Linked DNA regions of Struthio camelus. The protein of the gene in region 3 interacts with the protein of the main gene of each other region in a biochemical or structural test. Links are inferred from orthologs where the notes say so. Each region holds a gene or a part of one and is shown on either strand. Other genes may lie near its edges.

The links.
Region 1: of the proteins of AURKA (region 3) and NIN, one has a biochemical effect on the other in vitro, tested with the Homo sapiens proteins (2 studies listed by BioGRID). The link is inferred for Struthio camelus from reciprocal best matches to the Homo sapiens genes AURKA and NIN.
Region 2: the proteins of AURKA (region 3) and GADD45A form a complex in vitro, tested with the Homo sapiens proteins (2 studies listed by BioGRID). The link is inferred for Struthio camelus from reciprocal best matches to the Homo sapiens genes AURKA and GADD45A.
Region 4: the proteins of AURKA (region 3) and INCENP form a complex in vitro, tested with the Homo sapiens proteins (3 studies listed by BioGRID and IntAct, with this or other methods). The link is inferred for Struthio camelus from reciprocal best matches to the Homo sapiens genes AURKA and INCENP.

The regions. Positions count from the first base shown.
Region 1 is NC_090946.1:80,847,679-80,855,272, reverse strand, and holds the start of NIN (ninein), read right to left. Parts: upstream 3,153-7,594; 5' UTR 3,059-3,152; intron 2,808-3,058; exon of another isoform or gene 2,684-2,807; intron 1,627-2,683; exon of another isoform or gene 1,520-1,626; intron 1-1,519. Other genes in the region: protein ABHD12B, read left to right, coding at 3,789-3,901, 6,019-6,146, 6,990-7,092, 7,458-7,577. UniProt on the Homo sapiens protein: Centrosomal protein required in the positioning and anchorage of the microtubule minus-end in epithelial cells. May also act as a centrosome maturation factor.
Region 2 is NC_090949.1:37,060,242-37,067,882, forward strand, and holds GADD45A (growth arrest and DNA damage-inducible protein GADD45 alpha), read left to right. Parts: upstream 1-4,902; 5' UTR 4,903-4,995; coding exon 4,996-5,039; intron 5,040-5,124; coding exon 5,125-5,226; intron 5,227-5,309; coding exon 5,310-5,514; intron 5,515-5,897; coding exon 5,898-6,011; 3' UTR 6,012-6,663; downstream 6,664-7,641. UniProt on the Homo sapiens protein: In T-cells, functions as a regulator of p38 MAPKs by inhibiting p88 phosphorylation and activity.
Region 3 is NC_090959.1:12,393,493-12,402,105, reverse strand, and holds the start of AURKA (aurora kinase A), read left to right. Parts: upstream 1-5,264; 5' UTR 5,265-5,359; intron 5,360-5,648; 5' UTR 5,649-5,653; coding exon 5,654-5,707; intron 5,708-6,857; coding exon 6,858-7,140; intron 7,141-7,730; coding exon 7,731-7,809; intron 7,810-8,552; coding exon 8,553-8,613. Other genes in the region: CSTF1 (cleavage stimulation factor subunit 1), read right to left, coding at 532-809, 2,207-2,402, 3,169-3,342, 3,957-4,076. UniProt on the Homo sapiens protein: Mitotic serine/threonine kinase that contributes to the regulation of cell cycle progression.
Region 4 is NC_090946.1:7,624,965-7,632,609, reverse strand, and holds the start of INCENP (inner centromere protein), read right to left. Parts: upstream 3,484-7,645; 5' UTR 3,234-3,483; coding exon 3,097-3,233; intron 2,961-3,096; coding exon 2,847-2,960; intron 1,984-2,846; coding exon 1,193-1,983; intron 1-1,192. Other genes in the region: inner centromere protein A, read left to right, coding at 3,935-4,071, 4,397-4,510, 7,195-7,645. UniProt on the Homo sapiens protein: Component of the chromosomal passenger complex (CPC), a complex that acts as a key regulator of mitosis.

The DNA.
Region 1 (7,594 bases), on a different chromosome or scaffold from region 3:
CCTCTTGGAAACGCCCCTTCCCAGCGAAACCCAACGCAGAGGCGTGCAACAAGCTCAACAGCACAAAACCCCTCTGCAAACTTCTCCAGGAGGAAAAACAAAGCGCCAGGCCTAGGAAAGCGACTCGGGATTACAAGCGCCCCTCAGGCGTTTGCGGCAGTCCGAGCGCTCTGTGCTCCCCGGGGCGAGCCGAGCGCCCAGGCCCACGGACGCCGAGGGAAGCAAGTTTTCCGCAGCGGCTCTGTGCCGCCTTTGCGCCTGCCCTCTGCGCAGGGCCCGATCACCTTCACAGCCCGCAAGGTGCAGCGGCCCGGCCGTCACTGAACACTAAGCGAAATTTAACTCGGCTAGTATAGGCTTAAGTGGTAATTAGCGCCTTCAATCAATAGCAGCCTTGGAGCTTCAGCGTAGCACTAACGAAGGTGCGGATTACCTGGTCAGTAAGTAGCATGACCAAGCAGAAATAATGCAATTAGCACAACACGCTTTTAGTGGTTCGGTTTTGGTTTTTTTGGAAGCGATCTGCAACCCCCGTTGATAGAGGGGGGCAGGAGCCACGCGTGGGGCCGCAGGGCAAGCACACGCTAAATTTATGCAACTGGGCGGCCCCCCCCCCCCAAAAAAAAAGCAAAAAAAAAAAAGGAGAAGGGCAGCGTTTTGAATATTCACGACACCTCGGTATTTGCATTGTAATGGGTCCTTTCAAGAAGGAGCCTTCCCGGCAGCAAGGAAAAACAATGCGCCCATCTGTCGGGGTGCTGCAAGGGATGTTGCTCGGCGGCCGGCGAGAAGCCGGTGGGAGAAAACCCAAGGTAGATCCCCCCCCCCCCGCCCCCAAAAGCGGATTATTTGGGAAGCGAACAAAGCAAAAAGCCGGTTTATCCAGCACCGTCCCGGGCGGCTGGAAACGCGCCATGATGTCGGTGCCGGCGGCAGGGCCGGGCTGAGCCCCCCGACGGGGGCGGGGGGGGGGCCGGGGGCGCCGAGCGCACCCATAACCTCACCCCCCCCCCGCCGCCGCCCTACGGCCCCCCATCCGCGGCTCCGCCCGCCGCCGTTTTGGGGGCCGGGGTGTTGTGAAGCCCCTCTCCCAGGACGGGAAGGGCCCCGACGGCTTGGCAAAAGTCTCTTTTTTTTATTATTTTTTCCTTCCCCCCCCCCCCCCCGGAGCCCCGGGAGGAAGGGACCGGCCGGGCCGCAGCCACCAGGGCCCCCCCCGCGCCCCGCTCCCCCGGGAGCGCCGCCCGCGAAGCCCCTCCGCAGCGCACCCACGGGGGCGCCCCGTCCCTAAAGCATTCCCCCCCCCAACACCCTAAAGCACCCACGTCTCCCCAAAACACCCCCCTCCCCCAGCAACGCACCCCGCTGCCCCCTCGGCACACGCGGCTGCCGGGAAGGGGCGGGCTGCGCTCCCGGGGCCGCGGCTCCTTCTCCCCCCACCCCGGGGCCCGGTACCCCGCACCCCGGGGCGCTCCCCCCCCCCGCGCGGGGCTGGGCGCTGCCGCCGGCCGGGGCTCACCGGGCTCCGGGCCTGCCGGTGCGCAGCGGTGCGGAGAGGAGCGGAGCGGGCGCCGCGGCCGGGCGCGGCTCGCGGGGAGGCGCCCGGTTCAAATGCGGCCGCGTTTATTGGGCGGCCCCGGGGCGGGGGCGGCGGCGGCGGGGGCGGGCGGGGGCGGCCGCCGGCCTTTGTGCGCCGCCGCCGCCGGGCGGAGCCGCCGCGCCGCCCCCGCCCCCGCTCCGGGGGCACCGCCGCGGTCCCCCCCCCCCCCCCCGCCGCCGCCCGGCGTCCCCCGGCTCCCCGCGATCCTGCCTCCCCCCCCGGGTGCCATCACCGTGGTCCCTGCTCTCCTGCACCCCCGGGTGCCATCACCGTGGTCTCTGCTCTCCTGCACTCCTGGGTGCTATCACCATATTCTCTGCTCTCCTGCACCCCGGGTGCCATCACCGTGGTCTCTGCTCTCCTGCACCCCCGGGTGCCATCACCGTGGTCTCTGCTCTCCTGCACTCCTGGGTGCCATCACTATATTCCCTGCTGTCCTGCCCCCCCGGGTGCCATCACCGTGGTCTCTGCTCTCCTGCCCCCCCCGGGTGCCATCACCGTGGTCCCTGCTCTCCTGCCCCCCCCGGGTGCCATCACCGTGGTCCCTGCTCTCCTGCCCTCCAAGGTGGCATCACCCCAGCTCCCTGCTGTCCTACAGCCCAGGGTGGCACTGCTGAGGTCCCCACCGTCCTGCACCCCCGGCTGCCATCACCCCCAGTTCCTTGCCGTCCCGGCCCCCCGCCCGCAGCCCCCGCCCCCCCCGAAGCCCCTCGCTGGGCCAGCGCAGCCCCCTGCTCCCCGGCCCCGGCCTGGCCAGATGTCGCGCCGGCCGCGGCAATTTGCGCTTCCGTTTTTGCGCGTTTGCCATTTTTCTCCGCGGCTTTGCTGCTGCTCCGACACGCGGCGGCCCCCGGACCCCCCCCGGACCCCCCCCCGGCCCCGCTTTCCCGTGCCCGGTTCAGGCCCCCGCGCAGCGGCAGCCATCCGGCGCTTTGTTCGGCGGCCCCCCCCTTCCTCCTCCTCCTCCTCCTCCTCCTCCCGCACAAACAGCCCCGAGAAGGCGATGGCCGGGCTGCGCCTTGCGCCTCCGCCCCAAATCCGGCTCCGGGGCGGCGGCGGGCGACGACGACGACAAATCCCTGCCTGGGTTTTCGGCCCGGCTCCTCCGGTTTCCTTCTCTTCCGTCTGCGCCTGCGGAAGGGCGCAAAGAAGCCGAGGCTGGAACAAGCTAAAAACTTTCCCCCTTTGTGGTTTTTCTGCACAAAACAATGGGGAGAGCGGCTCGCTGCTGCCACCCCACGTCCGGCCTCCGCCGCGGCCCAGGCGCCTTTATGTCGCTTTGCCACCCGTGGGGGCACCCTCGGCCCCCGGCCGGCTCTCCCCTGACCCCGCAGGTCCCGCCGCTCCGGCCGCATCGGTGCGCTGAGCTGCGGCGGCCTCAGCACCGACCGGCCACGGGGAAGGAAGGAAGCGGCGCGGGGGTTGGGGGGGGGGGGGAGTCCCCGCGGGAAGTTTCACCGGGCAAAGGCCGAGTCCAGCCCGGCCTGGATCCGAGGGCGGCGGCGGCGCTACCGGCCTCTCTCGTCCGCCGTGCGGCCGGGGGCACCCGAGGACCCGGCGGCACCACCTAGCCCCGCCCCTGCAGGCCGAAAGGGGCGGGGCGGGAGGGGGAGTGGGCGTGGCCTCCCGCGCTGGGAGGGGGGGGTGAGTCTTCGCGGCCCCGGGGGCGAGGCGTAGGGGGCGTGGTTTGAGGGCGGGGGCGTGGCCTGGCGGGAGGGGGCGGGGCCGGCGGCGCGGCGGCGGAGCGGCGGCAGCGCGGCGGGAGGGGGCGGGGCCTGGCAGGAGGGGGCGGGGCCGGCGGCGCGGCGGCGGAGCGGCGGCAGCGCGGCGGGAGGGGGCGGGGCCTGGCGGGAGGGGGCGGGGCCGGCGGCGCGGCGGCGGAGCGGCGGCAGCGCGGCGGGAGGGGGCGGGGCCTGGCAGGAGGGGGCGGGGCCGGTGGCGCGGCGGCGGAGCGGCGGCAGCGCGGCGGGAGGGGGCGGGGCCTGGCGGGAGGGGGCGGGGCCGGCGGCGCGGCGGCGGAGCGGCGGCAGCGCGGCGGGAGGGGGCGGGGCCTGGCAGGAGGGGGCGGGGCCGGTGGCGCGGCGGCGGAGCGGCGGCAGCGCGGCGGGAGGGGGCGGGGCCTGGCGGGAGGGGGCGGGGCCGGCGGCGCGGCGGCGGAGCGGCGGCAGCGCGGCGCGGTGCGGGCGCGATGAAGCGGCGCGGCGAGCGGGGGGACGCGGCGGCCCCGGCGGGCGGCGGCGGCCCCGGCGGGCAGGCGGCGGCCAAGGCCAAGGCCAAGGCGGCCCCGGCCCCGCAGGAGCGGTGAGTACCTGCCGCGGCGCCGGGCCCCACGTGCGAGCCCGCGGCCCGGTGGCCCGTCCCCCCCCGCCGGTGCGGTGCCACCGCCTGCCCCGGGCCGTGTCCCTCTTGCCGGGGCCATATGGCCTAGCTGGGGCCATGTCCCCATGTCCCCTTTGCCGTGGCCTTGTCACCTTGCCGTGGCTGTCACCCCATGGCCGCGTCCCCCATGCCATGGCTGCGTCCCCCATGCCATGGCTGTGACCCCTCTGCCATGGCCAAGTCCATGCTGTCCGTGCCCCCTACCATGGCCGTGACCCCGCCGCCATGTCCCCGTGTCCCTGCTGTGACCGTGTCCCCTACCGTGGCCATGACCCCCATGCCATGTCCCCATGTCCCTGCTGTGACCGTGTCCCCTACCGTGACCGTGACCCCCCCGCCATGTCCCCATGTCCCTGCTGTGACCGTGCCCTCTACTGTGGCCGTGACCCCCCCGCCATGTCCCCATGTCCCTGCTGTGACCGTGTCCTCTACTGTGGCCATGACCCCCCCACCATGTCCCCATGTCCCTGCTGTGACCGTGCCCTCTACTGTAGCCGTGACCCACATGCCATGTCCCCATGTCCCTGCTGTGACCATGACCCCCCTGCCATGTCCCCACGTTCCTGCTGTGACTGGGCCCCCCTGCCATGGCCATGACCCCCATGCCATGTCCTCATGCCCCCTGCCATGGCCATGTCCCTGCTGTCCATGCCCCCTGCCATGGCCATGACCCCCATGCCATGTCCCCATGTCCCCCTGCCATGGCCAGGTCCCTGCTGTCCATGTCCCCTGCCATGGCCATGACCCCCATGCCATGTCCCCATGTCCCCCTGCCATGGCCAGGTCCCTGCTGTCCATGCCCCCTGCCGTGGCCATGACCCCCATGCCATGTCCCCGTGTCCCCCTGCCATGGCCAGGTCCCTGCTGTCCATGCCCCCTGCCATGGCCATGACCCCCATGCCATGTCCCCATGTCCCCCTGCCATGGCCAGGTCCCTGCTGTCCATGTCCCCTGCCATGGCCATGACCCCCATGCCATGTCCCCATGTCCCCCTGCCATGGCCAGGTCCCTGCTGTCCATGCCCCCTGCCGTGGCCATGACCCCCATGCCATGTCCCCGTGTCCCCCTGTCCATGGCCATGTCCCTGCTGTGCATGCCCCCTGCCATGGCCATGACCCCCATGCCATGTCCCCATGTCCCCCTGCCATGGCCAGGTCCCTGCTGTCCATGCCCCCTGCCGTGGCCATGACCCCCATGCCATGTCCCCGTGTCCCCCTGTCCATGGCCAGGTCCCTGCTGTGCATGCCCCCTGCCGTGGCCATGACCCCCAATGACACGTTCCTGTGTCAGCCGGTGCCCTGCCGTGGCCACAGGCCTGTGCCAGCTGCCGAGGATGGTGTCCCCATGGTCTCCCCCGGGAGGCATCTCCCCGGCTGCCCGCTCTGCTGCCCCCCCGGGTGCCGTCACCCCGGCTCCCCGCTCTGCTGCACCCCGGCCCTGCCCCGTGCCCCTCGGCGCGGTTGCAGCAGGCGTTGTGCAAAGCAGGGTGTGATCCCTCGCCCCCGTGTTTGCATATTAAGTGTAGATGAAGAGTGGCACCTAATAATTAAGCGCGTGACTCCGCGGGCAGCGCTGGCCCCGTGCCTTGGGCACGCAGCGGCACCGGCCCCCTCCGGAGCCCCTCACCGCCTCTGGGCGGCTCCGGGCACGGCGGCGTCCCCGAAGGGTCGGACGCGAGCCTCCCTGTCGCCTGCGGAGCTGCGGCCGCGGCAGCCCGTGACGCGTCCGACCCTTCGGGGCCGCCGCCGCCACTTTTTACCTAAGTGCTTGCTGACTCTCTGCGGCGAACCCGAGCCCCTTTTGCTGGATTTTTCTCCTCGTCCCTGGGGAGTCGCGCAGGCTCTTGGCGCGGGCGGGAAATATTTGGGAGCGTTGCTCGCCGGCACCGGCTCTGGGTGCTGCCCTACAGGGTTGCTCACTCTTTATTGCAAAACTCCTGGCAGGGGCTGGGAAGGGGGGGACCCCGACTGCGGTGTGTCCGCCCCCCCCCCCCCCCGAAGGACGGAGGGGCTGCGCTCACGGGGTTTTCTGCCTTGCAGGGGCTGGCTGGCCTGGCGACCCCGGCTCCGCACCCTCCTCGTGGACCTTGTCCTCATCTACGTGTCTGTGCCCTTCCTCATCCGCCTCTTCCCCGTGCTCCTCACCAAGTTCGTCTTCCTGAACTTCCGTGAGTGTCCCAGGGCCGCGGGACAGCCGGTGCCCCGCGGTCTGGCGTGGTGGTGGGGGGGGGACGGACGACGACGACGAGCCTTTGGGACCCCTTTGGCTCCGATGGCGCGCGGAGCCGGGAGGTGACCCGGCCGCGGCAGCGGGCGCCGTGGGAGCCGGCAGCGTTGCTTCAGCCCTGTCGCCCGGCCGGTCGGGCCGGGTGCCCCGGGCTTGGGCAGGGCGGCGAGAGCAGCCGGCGAGGAAGACGCCCGGCTCGGGGAGCCTGCAGCTCGCGGACCTGCACTGCTGATTTTTGCCCCCGAAGCCCGGGTTGGGCTGCATGCGACGTCTGTGCCCGCGGCTCGGTCCGCCCCGAGCTCCCTGCTTCACCCGGCGGCACCGGGGTAGCGCAGCCCGGCGCGGGCGGGCGCCCGGGCAGAGCCGGGAGCAAGGGGAACACGCAGGAAATGCAAAATACGGCAGCTCCTCGCAGCCCGTCGACGACGCAAGGAAGGGTCTCTGCTGCTCGTGCATCGCGGTTTTGCAAGCTGTAACAAGGCGGTGTTTTGCCGAGGACGTTCGCTGCCCAGAGTTGCAACACGTCTGGGCAGGCAGAGCGTCCAACGGGCCCGAGCGGCCGGCGGTGGGAGCTGGCGGGCGGCTGAGCTCGGCCGAACCGCTTCCCGAAGCCGGGAACAAAACAGCCGTCGTCTTCTGCGGGGGCCGGAGGTGTTTCCAAAAAAACGCCACCCGCTTCGGAGGCTGGCGCGCGACACGCGTTGCTTTGGGAATTAGCCGGCTGGGGGGGGGGGGTGCGAGGGGCGCCCGGGGTCGGCGGCAGCGCCTGTGCCTTCTCCCGCAGTGGCCTTCCCCTACTTCGTGGACCTCCGGCAGCCGGAGCTGCTGCTGAACAACACGGTGAGCTTGTATCTCACCACCGAGCCCGGCGTCACCGTCGGCGTCTGGTGAGTAGCAGAGCCTCAGCGGCGGGGTTGGCGGCTGAGCGTGCCAAGAGCAGGGCTAAAACCCTCCAATTCCCAGTTATGCCTCCGTAATTAGTGTCTGCCGGCTCCCTTTCCCTGGGCGAAGGGGTCTGAAGCCCCTTTTGCCCCTGGCCGTTGCGCGTTAGCTCCAGTTGCACGGAGCTATTTCCGAGCACCGTTAACTCATCCTCCGAAACGAGCCCGGGTGGCGTTACGGGGAGGTGCTGCTGCTGCGGCCGGGTACGGCGGCAGCGCGGGAAAGCCCGGCCCCGGGCGGGCACGGCGCGGCTGCGGTCGCTGACGGGAAACTGCGAAAAAAAGCTCATTTCCGCGCTCTGTCCCCGTAGGCACACGGTGCCGGGCAGCCGGGCGGCCGAGGCCCGGGGCAAGGACCGCAGCTGGTACCAAGAGGCGCTTGCGGATGCTCATCCCGTTATCATCTATCTCCACGGCAACGGAGGGACCAGGTGACTGCTTGGGCCGG
Region 2 (7,641 bases), on a different chromosome or scaffold from region 3:
AGGTCTTACAGGCTGAGCTGGACCATATGGCAGCAAAAGCAAGTTCAAAGAGAAACCCCAAGTTAAATCCTGCGCTTGGAAATCCTGTTGAGGGTGACTGCATCGTGTGAAGACGCTGTCTGCCCCATTAAAAGCCAGCTCGCCTGGCCAGTGCAGCCCACAGGAGGGGACAGGTTTGTTCTGCAAGGCTCTGAAGTTTTATGTAAGTCAGCGTTAGAGGAAGAAGCCTGAGCACCTAGAAACAGCACAGTCTTACAGCACTGACACAAATAAAATGTTGCTTCACTATAGCAGGGGATGAGAAGAGTCCACTACAACTGCCCCCATCAGAGATAGCTGCAGTGGGAAGCGATCACGGGCAACTTTTACAACAGGGCTGCCACCAGCAAAGCAACATACACGCACGCTCTCGGGCAGGAACCTCACTCCAGACAGTTTGATAACAAAGTTAGCACAGCCTGGTACACTGGTGACTTTGGTAAAACACCTTCGTCCCAGCTGCTGCTGCATTAAATCAGGACAGCTCTGTGACTATTACAGGCTTCACACGATGGTCAAGAAAGGTATTTCTTACAATTAATAACACAAGCTGTAATGCCTGTGACTCACGGGAAAATTACAACGTGGCTTAACATGAGCCAAACTAGACACCAAGGGAATCACTTCTTACACCAGAAAGATGCATGAAGAGCTTTAGCTGTCGGGAAACACCAGCCATGCTCCAGAGTTACACTGCTGCACTACTTACATCTGGAAAGATCCTCAGTCCCTGGGCTGACACTGCCCACGTACCAACCAGCCTAACGGTGCACCAACCGTCCACCTGTCTGTCCATGCAGAGCCACCTTAGACTGTCCCCTCTGCATCTGCAGGAGCGACCTGCCTCTAGTGATGTGGTATCCAACAGCTGGGAGTAAGCATTAGTTGCATTCAAGATCTAATGTTGTACCAAACACACATAAGCAGACACAGCACTGGTCTGAACAGCGGTAGAGCGTGAAGCAGGGCATGTGCTGTGCTGGCCAGCGCTAACGAGACAGGGAGCCAAGCCATCCTGCCTTGCAGGGAACCCACCCCTTTCTGCAGCTGGCACCACAGCCCAAACGGACCTTGAACGACCGCACAAACAGATGGACGAACGACCTGAAAGGAAAGGATTTGTTTCCCCTCAAAGTCTTCAGAGGTTGTTTGAAACCACTTCTGTCTCCTCTCCACTCCTACAGAGGATGGCACTCAGCTGAAACATGGCCTGAGCTTCCCCTTCACTCAGCAGCGATACGCCAGCACGTGGAGTGGACGTATCCAGGCTTGCCGTGAACAAGCTAGCGTGGGTATTGCTAACAGCGTGTCTGCAGCATCCGTGGCCTCAACCTGGACTAGCCCCACAGTCTTGACCCGGGCCCCCCACTGCTCTCCAGGCTGCCTTCCCTGTTGATAGCGCTCGCCTCACCAGCTCCAGTGTGTCTGCAGGCAGGCAGAGCTCTGGCTTCAGAAAAAATACACTTATGAGCAACAGGTTTTTCCAGCCCCAAAAGCTAGAGGTACCTGTAACTACTGCAGCACAAGCAACGTAACACATCTTGCTGAAAAGTAGAGAAGTCGCTCATTTTGATGTGCCTTTTGCCTCTGGCTGCCTGGGGCAGACCATCCGTCCTGTAGCTCTGACGTAAGAGTTTGAGACGAGAGCTCCTGAAGCTGTCGCTGAAGCTTGTGGTATTTCTCAATATGCCATGTCACCTTTCCTTACCAGCAAGGCTGGAAGTGAAACTACAGTGTTTACTATAAACAAAGCACGTATTTTAAGGCTCTGTTGCCTTATTTACCTCCCCTGGGTCCAACACTGATAACCACCAGAGTGTCCCAAATACTATAAGAAGCAGCAGTATGTCCTATAAGGCAGATGTCTGGGGGTACAGACATTTTCAGGGCAGGAACCTGGCTTTCACTCAGAATCTCTGGTGAAAAGGTCTCATCAAGCTTCTGACTTTTTTTATGAAGGAAAAGCAGGAGGTAATTCAAAAACAACAAAAGACGTCACAACACATACAGATCAGAAAACATGTCCCAAGATACAATGCAGACGTGAAACTTGGAGCTTGTTTTAAAAAAAAAAAAAAAAACTGGAGGAAGACTCCCAAGTTCCTGGAAGGATGATAACATGCACAGGACATTAACCTCAGCACTTGCGTACCCAGAATCTCAGACTGTCTCCAAGGCTGTAGGTTAGGTCACATTGTGCAACTCAGGACAGACGCTATCTGCAGTACGCAGTTCCCGCCCGCCTTCCTCAATTTACTCTTGGCACTTTTTAAATGCAGCTACAGCTATACTACTGTACACTGTAAAAACCTCTTTTAATGACATTAAGCCAAGTGACCACTTTATCACATTCTTATTGAAAACCACAAGTCAAAATATTGCTTTCACTCTTGCCAATGCTAAAGACTGTACTAGATATTTCGCAATGTGTTGTGCTTAGGTTTTAAAGAGCTAGTGAGGTTATTTCCTGAGTGCCTTGGCTTTCATTGAAACAGGAATAATAAGGATGCAATCTTTATGCTTGAAGGAAAAAAAGAAAACTTCATCTTAATTGTGAATTTGTGAATTTGAAGCCAGCCTTGTGATCTGTGCAGGCCTAATGCGTGACAGGATCCAAATACTCTTAAAATGCTCTGGTACAGAAAGACATGCAGTTTTCCTAGACAAATCCTGTTTTCCCTCACTGAATAGAAAGCCAGAGCAAGATTCGTGACTTCTGTAGTAAGTGCGTACCTGATCACAACTTAAACGTTACGTGGCAGTATTCCCATGACTTCTGTCTGAGGGTACAGACCATGCTCGAAGCTGTTGTCTCCCAGTTATCACTGTAAATCAGGGATGTCTGGAACGCTGACTCACAACGGAAATGGTGGAAAATGAAGTACCTGCGCTGAAGTAGGAGCAGGCAAACACTGTGTCACTTGGAGCTTGGCTGGCCACGAGCCAAAGACCTTGGGCTTGGCCTATCCTAGGGGAAAAAAAAAAGAAAATTAATGTGGGGACGTTAAGATGATGTGTTCACTCTGAATAGGTGTTGCCCATTGTATGACACAAGAGCTAAGGCGCCACTGCTTCTCCGACACACGGCTCGGCTCTCCTCCTGAGAAACCACACAGCAAAAGCAGGTGAGCAAATTCAGCTAAGTAAGCTCTCCTCTCAGAGAAAGTGCAAGTTCAGACACATCCGTGGGGGCATACCTTTATACTTTAGCTTTTCAAGTTTTTAGAAACGGGGCCGTGTTCCCCCGAGCACGTGGCTAATGGCCAAACCAGCCCTGACAAGCTCTACCTTTGGACACTCCCTCCCCATCTTCGTCTCGGTACAAAGTTTTCTCATTTCTGCTGCGTGAATCAGCATTTCCTACATCAATCATTTGCTTTAACAAATGGGACCTTTAGGAGGAGACTCGGTCCTGAGAAGAGGGCGAGCGAAGAGATGCATTTTGGTGCGTTACGAAGAACGCTTTAGGGCGATTTACCGGCTGTGCGCTTCGTAGCTGAGCTCTGAATAAAACAAGTCGGAGCTATTGCTTTACCCCTGCTCACCGCTCTTTACTCGGGAAAGCAGGTTTTGGAAGCGGTGGGCGGCGCATGCAGAGGCGCATGCAGAGACGCTCTGGCCAAGCACTCTTACTGCAGAGGGGGCGCCAGCCGCTGCAGGAGGGGAGGCGCAGTCGACGTGCTCTCCCTGGCTAAGCCACGGTTAGTCACACGCGCCACGCGGGGAGAGGCACCGCGCAAGGCCCGGCGCCTCATGAAAGCCTGGTGCCTTGAGCGCCACGCGAGGCCAGGCACCCCCTGAGACTGGGTGTCACGTGAGGCCGGGTGCCACACGAAGCCGGGTGCCGCAGTCACCACGCGAGGCCGGGTGCTGCAGTCACCACACGAGGCCGGGTGTCGCGGTCACCACACGACAGCGGGTGTCGCGGTCACCACATGAGGCCGGGTGCCGCGGTCACCACACGAGGCCGGGTGTTGCGGTCACCACACGAGGCTGGGTGCCGCGGTCAACACACGAGGCCGGGTGTCGCGGTCAACACATGAGGCCGGGTGTCACGGTCACCACACGACAGCGGGTGTCGCAGTCACCACACGAGGCCGGGTGCTGCGGTCACCACACGACAGCGGGTGCCGCGGTCACCACACGACACCAGTGTCGCGGTCACCACACGACAGCCGGGTGTCGCGGTCACCACACGACACCAGTGTTGCGGTCACCACACGAGGCCGGTGCTGCGGTCACCACACGAGGCCGGGTGTCGCGGTCACCACACGAGGCCGGGTGTCACGGTCACCACACGACAGCGGGTGTCGCAGTCACCACACGAGGCCGGGTGCCGCGGTCACCACACGACACCAGTGTCGCAGTCACCACACGAGGCCGGGTGTCGCGGTCACCACACGACAGCGGGTGTCGCGGTCACCACACGACACCAGTGTTGCGGTCACCACACGAGGCCGGTGCTGCGGTCACCACACGAGGCCGGGTGTCGCAGTCACCACACGAGGCCGGGTGCCGCGGTCACCACACGAGGCCGGGTGCTGCGGTCACCACATGACAGCGGGTGCCGCAGTCACCACACGACAGCGGGTGCCGCAGTCACCACACGACAGCGGGTGTCGCGGTCACCACACGAGGCCGGGTGCCGCGGTCAACACACGAGGCCGGGTGCCGCGGTCACCACACGGCCCGCCCGCGCCACCCGCCGCAGCCGGCAGCAGCCGCCGCGCGCAGCAACAGGCTCAGGCTGCCGGCGCGCGGCCGGGCGCGGCGGGGCGGGGCGGGGCGAGGCGAGGCGGTGGGGGGCGGGGCGGAGCTCATTTGCATGGTCCAATTAGAAGGCGCTCATGCAAATGTGACCGGCGCGGATTGGCCGGGCGCCGGCAGGGTCCAGCGCGCGGGGCGCCGGGCGGTGCAGTCGGCGGCGGGACGCGGAGCGGGTGGGACGCGCTCGCCATGACGCTGGAGGAGCTGCCGGGGGACCGCGGCGCCGCCGGCAGGTAGGGCCGGCCGGGAGGGCGGCGGGGGCCGGAGACCGGCGACCGGTCCGGTCCGGTCCGGTCCTGAGCGCGGCTGTGTCGGCAGGATGGAGGCGGTGGGCGACGCGCTGGAGGAGGTCCTCAGCAAGGCGCTGAGCCAGCGGAGCATCACTATCGGCGTCTACGAAGCGGCCAAGCTGCTCAACGTGTGAGTGCGGCCGGGCCGGGGCGGGGGGAGGCGGAGGCGGCAGCGGCGGTGTCTGAGGCGACGGCGTTTCCCCCGTCCCGCAGGGCAGCCGACAGCGTGGTGCTGTGCCTGCTGGCGGCCGACGAGGAGGACGGCCGCGACGTGGCCCTGCAGATCCACTTCACGCTGCTCCAGGCCTTCTGCTGCGAGAACGACATCAACATCCTCCGCGTCAGCAACCCGGCGCGCCTGGCGCAGCTGCTGCGCGCCGCCGGGCCGCCCGCCGACCTCCACTGCGTCCTGGTCACGGTGAGCAGCCCCCCCCGTCCCACCCCCGGGCCTTCCTCCGCTGCCCCTCGCTGGCCCCGCAAGGCAGCGGCGCTGGGTGTTGCCGTGAGGGTCGCCAGGTAAAGCGGGAGCGTTAGGGGGTGCAGGCCCCCCCTCCCCCGAGCCCTTGCTCAGGGTGCAGGGGCTGGGGGCGTCCTGTGGGCGGATCGGGAGAAGCTGCCTGTGAAGGGCTCGGGAAGTTGTTTGTCATCTGAGTGTGAGCTCAAGGATGCACGGCAGGCTTTGTGCATGCTTTTCTCCTTGTTTTTCTAATTCAAGATAAGTGAAGTCTTGGATTCTCTGCTTTGTGTCTTCGTGGGGGTCGTTTTTCTTAAAGCAGCCCCGTTTCTCCCTTTTTTTTCCAGCACCCCCATGCCTCCCAGTGGAAGGACCCGGCGCTGAGTCAGCTGATGTGCTTCTGCCGGGAGAGTCGCTACATGGATCAGTGGGTCCCTGTGATTAACCTTCCCGAGCGGTGATAGCAGCCGGATGGAAACTCGCTGAACACAATTGCACTGAAGTTTTGAAATGCTTTAGCAGTTGCTCAGGAAGTAACTCCCTACCCTGACACAAGGATTACAGGAGGAAAAAAAATAAATAAATAAAACTGAAGTCAAGTGGGGTAGACTGAAGTCAATCTACATGTTGTGTGGGACTGAAGAAAAGTGACTCCGCAGCTGGCAAGCGATGGGAATGAACACGGAAGCGAAGCTGAACGAGCAGCCTTTGTGCTGCTAAAGGAATTAAAGCCTGCCGGAAAAGCTGAGACACTGTATGGCTGAGTTACTTAAAACACCCAACACCCTTAATGGTTTTTTAAAGTGCAACTTAGAGTTTCTGGTTTAAGTACCTTAAACATGAAAGAGCAAAAAGGTTAATCAAAACACTTTTACACACAATTTTATTGTATTTTGGGATGTTAATTCTCAAGTTTATATTCTAAGATATATAATAAGTTATTTTATGATATTGATGGAAAACTTATTTATGCTACAAGCTTTCAGAACCAGAGTACCCTTAAGCAGTTGGTCTACAACCATACCACTTCTTTTAAAGACAGCTACATTAATATAATTGTTTGAAATTGAATAGTGGTGTTTTTTTTTTTTTAAATAAAAAATTTAACCTCAACTCCTTTGTACTAAGTCTTACTTTCTTGCATTCAGTAGTGTGCCCTCAAAAAGGCTCAGCTGGTGACTGGGGGCCCTTGTCAGGGACAAGAGTGCTGCATATTCAGAGCTTGTGCAGGACCTAAAATGGCACGTAGGCTTTATTCCTGGCCCCTCCTACAATCGTAAAACTAAAAAGTAGCTGATGTTTTGCAGGTACTGCTACTTTTTTTTTCTTGACCACTGGCACTTACAGCACAGTTTTAAATAAATAAAATTAACTTTAGAGGCTGCAGCACTAGTAGAGGGCCTGAATCCTAGTGAGAGTTGGGGAAACCTGACCTGTTTCAGTAGCAAAACTTTTCTTAACGTCTCCTCTTGAGAAAAGCTGTTAACCTGGTTGGCTGACCAGTATTACACCATATCCCCAATGCAAACCCTTCTGCCCTTTCCTGAATTTGATCTTTGTGTTGCTCCTGCTTATGCGTCAAAGCAGGGGAGGAAGGAATGCTGGCTTGGGAGGGTGCAATGATTGCAATCAGTGTGGGCATCCAGTTCCTCCCAGGAAAAGCTGCTTTGCTTCCCTCGCTCCAGTCTCTTGGCACTTCTCAAAATGCAGTTGCCTTTGGCCCATCCCATTTTTGAGGGACTCCAGACCTGTCCATGGGACTCCCACCACTTCTATGACACTACCAGCACTGTTAGCAGGGCCCCTGTCTCCTGCATAGCTGCTTTTTCCTTTCGGAGGTGCTTTCCAGCAGCAGTAGAAAAAGTCTACTGTCACTTTTCTCTCCAGGAGCTTTAAAATTGCCAGTGTGGCTATTACTTTGCTCAGCCTTGTGCTTCACTCTGCTTTAAGGACTTCAGTCCTGCTTTCCTCCATAACGCTTTGCCTGCTCCCTTGCAGCCACCAGGGTTACGAGGTTTCTGTGCTAGGAGTTAAACCCTGCTTCATGCTAGGTGGGTGGGACAGTTCAGGGACAGCTGCCAACTCGTTGCC
Region 3 (8,613 bases):
CAGTCCAAATCAAAGCACTGTATTGCTGTGAAAATTAAGGGAAGCTGTAACAAGTGGGAAAACTGCAACTTTTATTCACATGGGATACTGCTGATCATTTGGTATGTATCTAAGCCAAAAAACCTCACCTTCTAAATTGCTACCTGATAACTTTATTAGAAAAAAGTGAACATGAATAAATATGAATTCTGTGAAACAGTAAGCTGCGAAACACACAGCCACTGGAGGCTGTAAAGGTCAAAAATGTAAGTGGGTTCAAAAATAAACTGTGTTCACACAAGACAGCAATTATCAACAAGTATTAGAAGAAGTGTCTAGAAGCAATTTCTGGCTCAATTCTCTAGACAGCTGCCAGAAATCACACAAGTATACTTGCCCTATTTCTTGGTCCTTTTCTTCAAGGATACTTTATGAGCTGCTGTTGGAATAGGAAATATGGTGAGCACACATTTGGTCCAACCCACTGGGCCAACCATAAGTCACAACACTTCAAAAATTCACCAAGTAGCTATGATTCAAGTGATATTTTACCTCAATAGGCATAGCACTTTTGGCCAACATTCTCTCTGTATCAAGAATTTTTATTGAGGCATCAGCTGATCCTGTAGCTATTAACTGTCCATCTCTGCTATATGTAGCTACACGACATGGTCCTTTATGAGACGTGACATAACAAGTTTCGTATTCAGAAGCCTCAGGAGACATGGTCTGTACATCTGCATCAAATTCTAAGTCAATTCCTGTGCCTGGAGCTACTGTATCGGACCGCCCAATTGCATATTGAACAGCACTGTCATCGTTCTCCATTCCTGAAAAGAGAGAAGTTGATGTACTTAAAATATGCTAACTTTCCCCATAGATGGATAGGCTGTGGCCAGATCTGTGCTACAGATTTCTCTAACATGTATACGAGGCAGGTGTTAGAAGAGATAAGCCCCTACTCAACAAAGCCAGGCTAGCAGAACACATTATACAGCAACACTTCTCACGAGAAATGAGAGCTAACTTGGCTACACTAGAGCACAACACGCTCTAGCAATTTTAGCTTTGTAATTTTAACCCTGGAAATACAACCAGCAAATATAATATTATAGTAAGTACTGATAAATGCACTAATAATCACTTTGGGAAGCCCTGGACAGACCTATTGCAAGCTTTTCTACAGAACGGAGAATCAAATCTCAACACTCTTACATGAGATTTAAAGTTAAAAACGGCAGCATTTACTAAGCCTTTTAGATTTTTGTTTTACTGGATCGAGGGGAAAAAAACCCATCCCACAAACCACCTCAGCATTGCTAATAAAAATCATTACTTCTGTTCGCACCCACCCTTCAGATTTAACTTTTTGATTTCCATCATGCATCTACAGGATAAAGACAGTTCAGCACTGGAACTCGTAATAAGGCAGGATGCAAGAATTTTCAGCTATGTGCCTAACTGTGCTCATCAACCTATCACAGGTGATAGAAAAGTTTTCATTGCTTTCATCTACAAAATGACTCTTGTATTCTTATTCCAGACAGATATAAAGCTTCATATATTTAAACCCTTGGAGCTCAACTAGTTCAGGCAGCAGAACCAGTTCAATTACAATACACAGAACACATGCAGCTATGTCCAGGCCTCTTGTTTTAACAGCAGCTCAGGTATTTTGACTATATACTATGGCACAGATGTACTCTCAGAGAGAGAGAGAGAGAGAGAGAGAGAAAATAGGCTGTACCCTTGCTGAGGCCCTAGAACATGAAGCTCATTTTTAATGAGACCAGTATATAAAGGCTAATGAACATGGCCTATGGAAGGGCTTAGTTCCTTTCCTACGCTTTCAGTGAGAATGATATTGAAAATTTTTCTACCATTGACAGAGAACTGTGAGGCTCACCCTACTTCTATTACTTCTGCAGACTCAATGATCCTGTTTACTGAAGCACATTTTTAGAAAGTTGTCAGTCACCCAGGACCCTGGACAGGTAATCTCACACGCTACAGAAGTTCAAACAAACAGATTTTGCCAACAGTCACTGATCTGTTTTGCATCCAGTGCATATCAAGAGAACAAATACACATGAAAACGTTATGGTACCGCTAAACTTAAGCTTTGCATTACCCAAGTACTCTCAGTAACATTAAACTCCTACCCCAAACGGATTTAACTACAGATCTAGAAACTGAACTTTTTATGATTTTTTTTATTCTAGCTTACCTAATTTAATTAGGTGCAGCAGTTGCTCAGATGGTGCACAGACTGATTGCGGTTTTATCTCATTTATCAAGCCATTGGCAATATTTATGTACCCATCATATAGCAGCTGACTAATGATTAGTTTATAAAGTTGCTGACGATCTTTCAAGCTGACTTTTGTTCTATACATTGTTAGCAAGGAATGCCTTGGAGGGGCCTGAAATAAACAAATACAAGAGAAAAATCACATACAAGAGCATTACATATAACAACTATGACCGTTGCATAAAGTACCTCCTGCTGAGCTTCACAGTAGGAGATCATAGCTAATGCTATCATGTTTCAGGTAAGATTCAGTATTAAATAGACAAAATTAAAAAATATAGGAAAACATAAGAAATCTGTTGCACTTATTTGCTGCAGAAATGAAAACATTGCCATTAAGTAAACGTTAACCATATTAAAGAGCAATAAAGAAAATGATGCGGTGAAAAAAAATCACAGCATTAGTTAGCAAAACTATCCTGTCAGTGTCTTTCATTTAGCCTCGCTAACACCAGCAGACAGGGGGACCTGGGCACGCAGAGCTAGGAAGATGATTAACAGAGAGCATTTTGACTTCCCTGCACATTAGCCACCCTAACACATACGTTCCCCCCTTTCATCCGAGGCTTTCACATCCTCTCCACACCTCCTCCCAGCCAGCACACGCTTCTCTTCGCCCTCTACACCCTCTCCCAGCCTCGAGTAATAAGACCAATAACCAATTTCGGGGACCAATAACCAGACAGGGAGGGGGCGTGGGGGAAAGGGACTGAATGAGGGCGGGGAGAGTGCTCAGCCGGAGCACAGCGGTCACAGGGAGCAGGCTTCAGACACCGGGGGCGGACAGGCAGCTTCGGGTGGGAGCTGCAGAGGACGAAACCCGGCCAAGGCAGCGGAGACGAAAGCAAGGGAGCGCCCAGAGCAGCGCCGGTACCTACCGACCCTTCCTTCTGCCTCCCTCGCTCTCCCCCTAAAATGGCGACCGGAGCCCTGAGCGCATCGATTGGCGGCGGCGGCGGCAGGGGAGGAGGTGGCGGCGGCGGCCGAGAGCGAAGAATGCTCCTCCGCGAAGGCTGCTGCATCGAGCGCCCGCAAATCGATTGGAGGCGACTCTTGAAGGAGAGAATTGCAGCATCACGTGACAGTGACACCACGCGCGCGCCCGGGCACTGGCAGGTCCCTCCGTCACGTGAGCGGTGACGCGCCAAGCGCGCCCCGAGCGCCCTCGGTGGGGGGGGGGACGGGGGGGAGAATGGGGGGCAGCGATGGGGCGGCCGGGGGGCCCCTCGGCGGCGTCTAGCGCGACCCGCCCCGCGGAGGGCAGCGCCCCGCCGGGAGAAGGCGCAGCAGTGTTCCCGGGTGGGATGCGGGAGGCAGGCCTAGGTGACCTGCGTGGGGGAGCCCCCTGGAGCTCAGGGCCGGGTCTTAGCAGGAGGGTGCCTCGTCTCAGGAGACCCGGGGCCAGGATTCTTTAGCGTCCCAGCTGCACAGCTCTGAAACGCTGCTTCTGCTGGGACACCAGTATCCCAAGCACGGGGACATCCACAGGGGCTAAAATAACAAAGTTTCTGGCATTGCTGCTCTGTGCTGCAGGCCTCTCTGATGAGTTCGACAACTTGGGCAGCACAGTAACAAGCACCTCACGCTGCCACACTTCACGGGCTCTCAGCAGGCTGAGAGCCTGTCCCAAGCGTACAAACACCACCCTCCCAAAAGTCCTACTCACGTCAGCCTCAAGAAACGGAAGTCGAAGTGGACGCGGGTCAAGGAGGGGGGATGCCATGCTACCCATGCCCCGTGGGAGCTGTCGTCTATCACATGCTGCAGCAACGCGACGACCTGACATCTTCTTTTTACCTATCCTGTATCACTTGTAAGAGCCGACACACCAGACTCGCCTTTGCGCTTGTTCTCAACGCTGCACAGCCAGTAAGAGTTGTCTTCAATCACGCTTCTTCAGAGGCTCAACGGACTCAAACTGGTTTTGGCTGTCGCTTGCCACTCAGTGGCCTGGGTCCTCCTCACAGGTGTGAGTAGGACCACTTGGGCAGCTGGCCACTGAGACAACACAACAGCCCCAAGCTCCTGTTACGCTTGCGCTCACAAACTGCACTGATCCTCCACTGTCACCGCTGTACCGCTGCCGCTCTGTGTCTCTTCAATACCTGCCGGGCTTTGGAAGCTGCCAGCAACCGCACGTCACCACTGGTGTAACACGACGGTCTGCTTTCCCCTTCACGCGTGTCTGCTGGCTGGTGAGGGTACCTCTGGCCAGGCGTCACCTCGCGGGCTGTGCGGTGGCGAGTGTCCCCTTCGCGCTCGTCCTCAAGAGCTCACGGCACGTGGAGCGCTGCCCTGGGCCGCACGTCCGGGCAACGCGAGGCAGAGGCCTGCTTCGCCCCTCTGCCTGTCCTGCGGGTCCGCCGGGCTAGGCAGCTGCCACCCGTGGCACCTTCCTCGCTGGCAGGACACAATGGCCCCGAGCCCCACTCACGCTCGGCTTCACGCGAGGTGGCAGCACAGCCTCTCCCTCAGCCCGAGCCGGAGGGTGCGTGTGTGGAGGAGGTGAGGGAAGCGGGTTCGTGCCTCACAGGATGCAGGACTAACCTGAAGCCCTTCCCCCCACAGCCGGCTGCACGCTCTGAGGCCTCAATGGCTGTGAGGAAGGGATGGTAGTTGTAGCGTTGCCACAGGTGGGTGGTCTGGACATACGCGATTTGCGTAACGGAAGACCCGGCCAAGCAGAGACTTGCGGAGAAAAGTGTGTAAACGGGGCGCCGATCCACGCACTTGGAGTACGGAAGGAGCCAGCGGCGGAGAGACGGTACGTAAAATACGCATGTAGCGCAAACACCGCCCTGGGGGCGGGCGAGTTGGCCCTACGCGGGATACGCAGCAGGCTGCCGTTGCGCATGCGCCCCAGAGGCTCACCACGACGAAGCGCAGCCTCGCAACGAGCGGAGCGTTTGGCGAGCCAATGGACGGGCGGGTCGGTGAAGAAGGAGCCAATCAGCGGGCGCGGACGGCGGGAGACGGGCCAATGGAAAGAGGCGGTAGTTTAAAGGGTATTTAAGGGAGGGCGGTTTGAATTCAAACAGCGTTGGCGGCCGGAGGGAGCCGAGGCCGGGGGTGAGCGGGCGCCCGGAGCCCGCGGCGGGGATGGGGCCCGGGGCCGTGTCGCGGAGGGCCGAGCCCGCGGGCGGTGCTGCCGGGAAGCGCAGGCTGGGAGCCGGGGGCAGGGTGCTGCGGCGCGGGAGCGCAGGCCCGGCCGCAGAGGCCGCCCGGCCCGCGAGGGAGCGGAGGGGCGCAGGCGGGGAGCGTCGGAGGGGAAGATGCGAGGCGCAGCGCTGCCCGAGGAGCTGGTCTGTGCTAACTGTGCCTCACGTGTAGGCTAACCTATATGTGCCCTTCTCCTCAGGCATCATGGACAAGAATACTAAAGAGAACCATTCTGGACACCATAGCTATGCTGCTAAGGTAAATAACTTGCTAGGTTGATTGTTCTGCTTTCTGTGATCATACAAGAGCTATAGACTTAAAACTGTGGTGACTACCACAGTTCTAAATAGTAAAAAAGGAAATTTGTCTTGAAGTAGCATTTCCTGTTTGCCAGAAACAAATTCCTATCTTTATCTTTCAGCTTCTCTTTTGGAGAGAACATTGCTCAAGGCTTGTTTGCCTTCTTGCTAGTATTGATATGTCATTCTCTAATTAAAACACTTTCCTGGTATCTTGCATATAATCTAATAGCCTTTAACTGAACAGCAAGTGCATGTGGGTAACTTATTCCAGATATGGTTTCCAAAAGCAAGTATTGTGTTAATGTCACTATTAGTATATCCATGTGGAGAGTGCTCAAGATAATCCTGACTGCATTATCTTTGCATACAGATACTTTCTCATTCTTTTAATTTAGAAACATGAGGCTTCAAAACTAGCATGAGTAAAACATATATATATATATATATGTTAATCAGGCTGTCAGTACACTTTCACTGAACTGAACCAGAAGATTAAGTAATGTCTAGGGGGAAAAAGAAGTAAAAATTATTACATAGGTATCATTAGAGGGTTTAAAATAAATGTGAGAAGCTAATTAGCAATATTTGAACTGAATTTTAGGCAAAGTATCCTAGAACAGCTAAGAATGGCTGAAGTATAAGCCTTAACTACCTGTAGCTTTCACTCCTTGGAAGGAAAAGATTAAAACCGGTTAACTAAAAATTACAGAATAAACTTTGTTCTGCTGAAATCTTCTTATGTTGCAAGGCAAATTAAGATGCATTCAAGAGAGCAGTGATTCAAAACAAAGCACAGTAGGCAAGTGGTAGGATTTGGAAGCAGGGGTCTGTCAGTCTTGCTACTGTTGACTGATACTCTTCAGACTTATGTGGAGTTCTTCCACTTGCTATAAGTGAATATGCTGTCCACAAGAAAATGTCAGCAGAGTAGTCTATAAATCAAATTTATCCTTAAAGCCTATGATCAGAATATCCTAACACCTCCCATTAGTGTGTCACATTCCCCTTTTACCCTGTCCCTAACTCATATATATGTTGTTTGAATGAGGCCATAAAGATTGTAGTATGCTCTTCCATAATTAGAATATCATGTTTTCTTTTTGAAGACTGTAAATCCCATCGGGGATGGCCCAAAACGTGTCCCTGTGCCTCAGCATTCTGCTCACAGCCGGTTACTAAGCAGTGGAGTCCAAGCACAACGTGTTCTATGTCCTTCGAACTTGGCCCAGCGAGTTCCTGTACAAACGCAAAAATCTGCACTGTCAAACCAAAAACTGTCCAACAACCAGACAGGGCAGCAGCCACGACCAAAATCTCTGGTCCAGCCAACTGCTAGGCCTCAAGTTCCAAGCAAGAACAATGAAAAACCTCAGCAGGCTCCAGGATCTGGTAATTAAGATGATGCATATGTGGTCAAATAGTTGTGACACTTGGGATGCTTCCATTCTATGAAGCAGAGTGCAGTACAAGAATTTTGAAGCTGATCTTAATGATATGTGGGAGTCTTGTACGGAAATATCTGGCTGCACCCAGAAACAGAATTGTAACGCTTGATCTTGGATGTTACTGCCAGGATTGCATGTTTAGAACTAATATGGGTGTTTCTTTGCTCTTGAAAAACTTCCAGCTACTTATTAGTCAACTGTGAATTAAAGAAATTGGCACTAATTCATCATGATCTTTATTACCAAAGATATTAAAATGAATAATAAAGTGCTGTATTGATGGTGGTGGGGAGGCGGGAAGCTTCTAAACATTTCTCTTGACTTAAAAAAGCTTTCTTGGAATTACATCTTGATAGCAGTGTAACTCAACTGCTATGCTGCCTTGCAATAGTAAGTTTATTTTTTAAAATATCACTGGATGGAATCTAAGAACTGTTGCTGATACTACACTGAGATTGTACTTGTTCCCCACATGCATTTTTTTGTACTGTGCTCATGGATTCGGTTCATAAGTTTCCCCTTATTCATATATAGCAAAAAATACTGAAGCAGAAAGCACATCTAAACAGAAAAATGAAGAGACCACTAAAAAGAAAAATGAAGAGACAAAGAAGTAAGTTGTTGTGTTCCTAAATGCTCCTAAATGCTAACAGAGCCCCATTTAATTAGGCTTTCTTTTAACTTCTAGGACTACATGCTACAACTAAGGAAATTAGCTGTAGATAAGTTCTAGTTAAGTACTCCAGCCCCTTGATTGAGAACAGTGTCCCAACACTTCATAGCTATAACATTTCTTAATGAAACTCTGGGAAAGCTTACTTGGACCTGAAAATTCTCAGGAACTGGAACTCCCTGTCATCTAAAGAAAAGCTTTTTGCTAAAAGATAACTCCCATAAGATAACTCTGATAAACACTAATCTAGTCACAGGATGTACAATTGAAAAATATGCCTCCTTCGTATGTGCAAGAGGTTGGAATCTGATTAGGGATGAATGAGACTCTTAGTATGGCTAGCTCTAAAACACAGTTCTGACATGCATTAGTAAGTGCGTGTGTATTAACTGTACTGAAATGTGCCTGGCTTGGTACATGCAGTTTTGACTTTTTTGCAGTAACACGTGGCTGATGTTAGCATCTCTACATGTAAGCTTTAAGAAGGAAGAGCCCAGCTTTCAGGCTTCTCTTCTGAAGTCTCAATGCATGTTTTGTTCTCTTGGTGGTGTTCCCTTAAGTACTACAATCTAGCTCAGGTCAGGAAGTAGTCTATTGAACATAAATGCTATTAATGTAAACCCAGAATACAAAAACTGGATACTTTGTGTGACTTTTGATACTTTAACCATATCTTTTTACAGAAGGCAGTGGTCTCTTGATGACTTTGAAATTGGTCGACCTTTGGGGAAAGGAAAATTTGGA
Region 4 (7,645 bases), on a different chromosome or scaffold from region 3:
GGTAGATAAAACTACTTTAGTGCCTCTTCATCAAAATCAGAGCTGAGAACACTGTCCCTACAGTCTCCTTTTTACTTAGGGAGCCCTCAGTGCAGGGTCAGAAGCTTGCACAGAACTCTGCATTACCCTGTTACCAACACAGGGAACCATTCAGATAGAACAGCTGAGTTGGTATAAAGAAAAATATTAAAGCGTTTGTCCAAATATATCCAGTTTTTGCTGTATAAGGACAACACTGCAAGAAACTTCAGTTTTATACAGCGCAAATCCCACACAGCGAGCACACAGTAGATTAAAACGTTGCAGTAACATTCTTTCAGCTGTACTACCCTTAAAAACCAAGTATGCCATGCAAAAGAAAGAGCCAGTCTCTCCTGAACTTCCAACACCCTGAACTGCACAGAAGACCTCTCTTCCATCATCTGCATTTCAGGAGCCATTTATTAGTTCACCATTTAATAGTCACTTATTTGTTGCCTGTTGCTCAGCTCAAGAGAGGTGATATCCATCACTTGGTTTTCCTGCAGTAAATCCAATGATTGCATTCAGTAGCAAGAGCATTTAAATCATTTAAAGCAATTGAATCGGAACATTTAAGTCAGTTTATGTTCTTCACAGAAATCCGTCTCTACTGCAACTTAGAAGTCCTCCAAACTTTTGTAATGGATTTACAGAGTTCAGTCTCAAAATTTCCTTCTCAAAACAGAGGCTCTAGAGCTAGCAGCCAGATTCTGTTTAAAGAGCAGCAGATTCATAAAATATAGCTACCTTGTTTCCCAGAAAACATGCAAGCCTTTGTCAGAGCCCATATCCCTCTTAAGGGGCGGTCGCTGCTAGTAGCTGCTTAAGAGCTCCATCCGCTGGCTTCCTCTTTAACTTTGCAAGCAGCCACCACAGAAACTTAGAAGACATTAAGACCATTCTCCCACACGATATACAAGGCTGAATCTGTAGGCCACAAGTTATTAGTTAGCTCAGTTAACTCGTCAAAGGGTTCTCTATACAGATAGGTTTCTACAAAGCCACCTTGAACCCTCACATTTAACCGAATGTTTGTCTAACCTAGGAAGATCAGCTGCTGCACCCAGGGGGAAGAACTAGCTCTGTAATTCTTCAGCAGGAGAAAGCAGCAGAGCAACAAAGTAAGTAGGAATGGTGCAAAGCAAACTTTTTTGGAAACATTCAAACTTACAGTTCACGCGACTGGAGGACACAGACGACTTTCGAGCTGCCTTCCTCTTGACCATTGTCCTGTTGATAGATTTCCGGATCATGCTTTCCCTTTTGCTGGCTAGGGAGTACTTCTCTGCCAACGAGGTCCTGCGAATCATGGAAGGTCTACCCATCAGACTTCTGCGCACAGAGCGACGGCTCAACCTAGAGCCCGTAGGAGTCCCTGGGCTATCCCTTATACACTGGGGAAGCTCCTTTTCAGACCCCTCATTACGCTCTGGCACCTGAGCGGAGACATCTACCTCCTCCGCCTTAGCCTCTTCATTTACCACGACCATAGTATCAGCTGCATTTGCTGTCTTCAACTTAGAAGCGCCCCTTTCTCCTGCATCTTTTGCCTCAGGGGTATGAGGAACCACCAGCACAGAGGCTGCAGGCACAGGCTGCAATTCTGCAGCACTGCTTTCCTTTGGAGAATCATCATTCGGGCTCAAGAGGATGGTTGTAGAGACCTTCTCTGCTGATTTAGATGCGCTCTTCTGCAGGTGTAACTCTGCACTGATGCGATCTTTGACACCAATTTCTACTAAAGGAATCTTCCCTTCTATTGGCTGGACAGAAGGCTTCTTCTCAGTAGGGATCTCTGAGCACTTAGCAGGTGTTGCAGTCTGGGATCTTGTCCACTGCTGAGATGGGGAGATTTCTTCAGCCACAACCCTGATTAGTTCCAAGGTTTCTTTGTTTTGGAGTCTTTGAGAATATCGCTTGGAGGTTACTGGTTTGATACTGCTTTTCCGCCGTCTAGATAATCTAACAACAGAAACGGGGCGTTAGACTGGAACCGGATTCAGGAATAGACCCAAAATTCCTACCAAAGCAGCCCGGTAGCCATTCATTTGCAGGTTAGATACAGCTGTTTTCTGATGGGGAACGTAGTAAATAAAAACACTTTGTTTACATCTGTATTTGTGGGGTGTCTGTACAGCAATTTACTAGTGTTCTGTATAGCACACGCTAGAAATAGCGCAGGGCTTGAAGCACTTCCTGAGATAAATTGGAACGTGCAGGGCAACAAAGCTAAAAGATGTGCAAGAGCCAATACAAGAGCTCAACATACACAGAAAGTAACTAAAATGACACAACCATTTGAGGGAAGAGAGAGCCAGAGGAAGATGAAAGGTAGAGATATAAAAAGAAACTGAGTGACAAAAGTCAGGATACTTACACAGTGCATTGTTATCTGAGAACCTTGATGTTATAACATGCTTAGACCACTAGGTTAATAAGAGCTTTGGAATGCAACATAGTTGATACAAGTACAAAGGAGCAAGTATTAAAGGAAAAAGCGTGGGGAGGAGACCGCTTTTGTGCGATCTTCATTTCTCGAGCAAGTTTTCCCAGGTTTTCAGAAGCTTCCTCGTGTCTTCAGGCTTCCTTCGATGGATCTTTCTCAAGCAATTGCTTTTCGCTTAGGACTTTCTGGAGCCCAGGCAGCACCGACCTCACAGCTTCTCGCCTCGGGCTTTCCACCAGCGAGGAAAGGGTTGGGGGGGTGAGGGGGGGTCCGGCCGGCTGGAAGCGGGGGTCTTCCTTGCCGTGAGGGCCGCGGGCAACGAGGGGACGAGCTCGGGGGCGCTTCCTGAGCACCCAGGGGCGGCCGGGGCCAGGCTTACCTCTTCCTGCTCGGCTCCTGGGTCTCGTCCTGCAGGACGGACAGGCGCTTCCTCTTCTGCCGGTTCCGCTGCGACGGCGTCTTGGGCATCAGCTCCGGCTCGTCGCTGTAGTGGCTGCACGGGGGGGGGGGGGGAGGGGGGGGAAGAGAGACGGAAGGGCAGTGCGGGGAGAGACCGTTAACGGCGCCTAACGGTCCGGTGCGTGAGGGAAGGCGGCGGGGGGGGGGGGGGGAAGAGGGGAGGAAGGTACCTGCTGAACATCCTAGCGGCCTCATCGCGGATCTCGCGCAGCCACACCAGGTCGGTGTCGTCCACCTGCCGTAGTAACTCCGCCAGCCGCCGGTTACACAGGGCCAACAGCTGCGCCGGGCCCGTGGCCGCCGCCATCGCCTCAGCCGCCCCCGCCCCAACCGCCCGTCACCCGCGCGCGGCCCGGCCCGGCCCGGCCCGAATCCAGCTCCGGCTCCGCCTTCCCGCCGCGCCGCGCGCCTGGAATTCAAACCTAACGCTCGCCCACCGCCCCGCCGGCGTCACCGCCCCGCCGGCCTATCGCCTGCGCGCCGCCCCGAGCCCGCCCTTCCTATTGGCTGGCGGCGCAGGCGCGCTCAACAGCCGAGCCCTTCTGGGCGCCGACATCTGTGGTCGTGGAGGACTCCGCCTAAAAAGCGAAAAGGGAGGGAAGGAGTCGAGGCGGCTGCGCGGCTTTAAAGGGGGGGGGGAGGGAGAGGTGGAAGTGATGGGCAGAGGCGACCGCCAATAAGAGGCTGGGCGGGGGGGGTGGGACGTGCGCTCTGATTGGCGCAGGCCGTGATGACCTCAGCGCGGAGGTGGGTGAGAGGGGGGAAGGGCTGTGGTTGTGAGAGGGCGTTATGCGGTGAGGCGCGGCCTGTGCCTGGGCGGGAGCTGCCTCCCCTCAGGGAGGGCGGGAGGGAGGCGGTTGGGTCTCCTCGGCGTCGAGGCCGGGCTCCTCAGGGCGCCTCGGCCTTGCCCTCGTGCCTGGGCTCTGAGGAGGAGTGTGGCGGGCCTGTTCTGGCTTTGGGGTGCCAGTGCCTTTTCCCCCCCCTGCCCTGCTGTGTTTTAGGCAGGCCATGGCGGAGGCTGATGGCCCCAGGCGGCTGCTGGAGGTGTGTGGGCAGAGGCTCTCCAGGTTCCTCCACGACGCCAAGCACAAGCACTTGGCCTGGCTGCAGCAGGCTGAGGAGCAGGGCATGAGGCTGCTGGATAGGTAGGGGCTGCCCTCGGAGCTGGCCTCTTTTCCCTCTCCTAAAAAAAAAAGCTCCCTGTTCTCAGCACTTTCAGCTTCCGTTCTCCTCCTGTAAGCTTAATCCACGTGCCCTGGTGGCCTGCTGTGAGGAAAGTAGTGTTGCCAAGTGGTTTGGTGTGTTGTGTGCCTCTGTTTGGGACCTTGGTGGCTGTTGCACCTCGTTCACCTGTTTCTCACCCAGCTGGCCTCCTTGAGCGTGTGTTACTTTGCGGATGGCCTGGTTGGCGGGTGGGGAGCAAGGGAGGGGAAGGCCATCTTGTCTTTCTTGCGTTTGCCTGCCCAACAGCAACTTTGGGGCCGAACCTGAGTTAGTGCCCAAAACGCCGTCGCAGAGGAGGCGTCCCAAGAAAAGGCAGTCCTCCTCTCTCAAAGATGAAAGCAAGGAGCCAACCAGGAGGAGGTAGGTGGGTCGGTTCATGTTCTGGCTCTGCTGCGTGGCTGTAACCTTCAGCAAATAGGAAATGAAAAATAAACTTTTAAGGGTGGAACAAATTGAATTGTAACCCCCCCCCCCAAAAAAAAAGCTAGTTTATTTTCCTGAGTTAATAAATATACTTAGATATGACCTATCTAGTTCCAAAATAGGTCAACTTTATGTGTTTGTTGTGAATGTTTGGAAGACAGTTGCTGGGTTTCCTTCACTTTCCTTTTTTTCTGGTTAGAAACAAAGAATAATAAATGTTTGTCTCTATTTTCTCATTTGTTTGGGGTTTTTTGTTAGGTTACTTGATTTTTCCAGCATGCCTTGTGGCCTGAGGTCGCTCCTGGTGTTCACACCCTGAATCTTTGTATTGGTGCCTGAGAACCTGTGAATGGAACTTGTTACCGAATATGTACAAAAATGCCTTGTCTCCTCTGTCATATCAGTCACTAGAAAACAAACTAAAACTTACTATATGGAAGACCTGCTTATCTTGGGGGGTGAGGGAACCGTCCTCTCGACGACAGTTGTCTGCAAATGGATGCAGAGGCAAGATGATGTTGGGCAAGATTTAACTGCAGGTATAATCGGGGATGGCTTTGATGCTAAATAGCTTGCCTGATGCCACTGCTTTGTAGTAACTAGCTGTACGTCTGCCCATCTCCTGGTCTGTGGCAAGGTAATTAAGGTAACCTTCCCCTCAGGGAAGAGTGTGCTATGATCTGAGAGTAGACACGGAGACAATCACTGCAGTGTGACCAAAACCTACTGATCCGACAGGCATTAGTAAGCTGTTTGTGGTTGTAAGGCACTGAGAATTTGATAACCATGGTGAAAAAGCCCACAGGAGTTGGGCAGGAAGGGTTAGAACTGTAAGATTGTCAAAAACAAGACATGGAGGATGGGGAGAAGAGCAAGAATAGTAAGGAAGCGTGGGAAGTTCATGCATGCGTGTGGTTAAGGAGGGCAGGAGAGGAAAATGTTGAAGATCTAAATGGGGAGAGCTCTTAAAACATCCTGTTAGTTTCCAAGTCAAATGTGGCAGCTGGATTGCTCCTCTAAAGAAGACAAATCTTCCATACGTTTCTCCTCGTTTAAAGTTAGTTTTGCAAAAGCTCTCCTCCTGATAGGACAAAATGCCTAAAAGGATGGTGATCATTTGCCAACAGGAAGTTCATACTGAAGTTCAGCCCTTTGCACTATATCCTGTGGGGTCAGGCGACTGTTTTTCCATTGCTCTCTGTTCTGCTCAGTATGTCTTTTTTTTTTTTTAACACATTTCTTTGTGCGTTTTTAACTTCAGATTTCCCACTTAACAGTCGCTCCTTTTTGCTAGAGGTCAAAATAAGAAATTTAAGAGCCCAAGAGTGGACTGAGGGCAGCAGGTATCAGTTTGAATATTGGTTGCAGGACAAGTCACTGCCGGTTTTCCACCAGTGACCATGAAGCCTTGTTAATTTAGCTAGGTTATGACACAGTGGGCTTTCTTAGCCACGTTTTCCACCTGACGTGCACTTTCATGTTAGCTCTCTGTTGTGTTTTTTCTGATCTCCACCCTTTATGTAACTATCACTGGGTTTATTTGGCGCTGGAGGCTTTCTTTCTTTTGATTGTGCTGAAATCGTCCTTTGCTTTTTATATTGGTCCAGCTGATCTCCTCAACTTGCTGATCAAATGCATGGTTCTGTCCTCTCTTGGCGACTCAGTGCAGGCGAGCGGGATTTCATTGCCGGAGTTCCCCAAGCCTCTGCGTAACTAGTCAGGATTAACTGAAGCAACATAGCCGGAGAGAGTTACTGAGCCTGATATTTTTTCCCCTTAAATTACAATAACTTAAGAAACTTCTTAGAGTCGTAACTATACATGTACATTTTTGCTGTCTTCCTCTGGATTGCGCTGTCAGATACCGCATGTGTTGCGACATCGCTGTTTCCCAAGCTGATTGCAAACTCTGCATGTAGAGCAGTGAATGTTGTCTCAGTGCTTGGGCCCCTGCCTCCCCAGTGCTTATCTGTTTTACGCTGGGCAGTCTGCTAGAGAGCAGGGTAACCTGCTGTTCCTAGGCGAGATTTACTGGGGAGATTTCCACGTAAAATTGATCCTGGGAGACTGAGTTGTATAAACGTTCCTGCGAATCTTCAGCCCAAAATTCCTTCCTGTCTGGTTGTGCTGTGTGTATTTTGTTCAGGGCAAACAGGATGGGTTAAGTTGTACCTGTCTGAACATACTGTCCCCTAATGTCAGCCCCAGCTGGGGCTGAGGGTTACTCTGTGCACAGAGCAGTGAGCGTCCCGGTACCTCAACCGCTGCAGTTTACGTCCATGTGATACAACCTTTATTTGTGAGTAAATCCAGCATGCCAGGCTGAAAGCGGGCATGGTTGCAGTAAGACTATATATGTCCTATGGCACAGAACGGTAACATCAAGTAAAAACATCTTGCAGGCTGTGGGGAGCAGTAACTTCTGAATTGTTGCAGCTAAACCTGCCAGAGCACATCTGGGAGCTCACATGGTTGATTGAACTGTGATAAAAGGGGGGGAGGAGGGGGCAGAGGGAGGAAGCCAGTCGGCTCATTTTGAAATTTGTCTCCTCTTTGCTCCAAAATCATTTGGGAGTGGGAGATTTCTGCATCACTTGATAACGTTATTGTTTTTATCTAAGGTTGTCCAGAAGGAGAAGCAGCGTCAAGCTAGTGTCTTCCAAGCCAGGTTGCCAGAAACGCCACAGCAAAGAGCAACCCCCGAACCCCAGCAGTCTGGGGGAAGAGGTGTCCACACCCGACCCTGCAGTAGGGTCTCAGGCCAGGGTTAAAACAGAGCTTCCAGCACCGCCAGTGGCGCTGACTGGGAAATGGCCAGCAGAAGCGCAAGTTCCAGTGGCAAAAATGGATTGTAGCGACTTCCCTCAGGTCGAGTTAGGGAAGGGAGACAGGGCCAATATAGGACGTGGGGCCGGTAAGGCTGTCGCAGGAGAGCGATTGCCCACGGGGGCTGGAGTTACTGAGCTGCCTGATGTGTCATCTGTCACTGTGGTCCCTGGTGGCCAGACAGCAAGGGAGGGGGAAGAGACCCCCGGAAGAGGAGCAAGTACCTCCACTCCCAAGGCTGCTAGA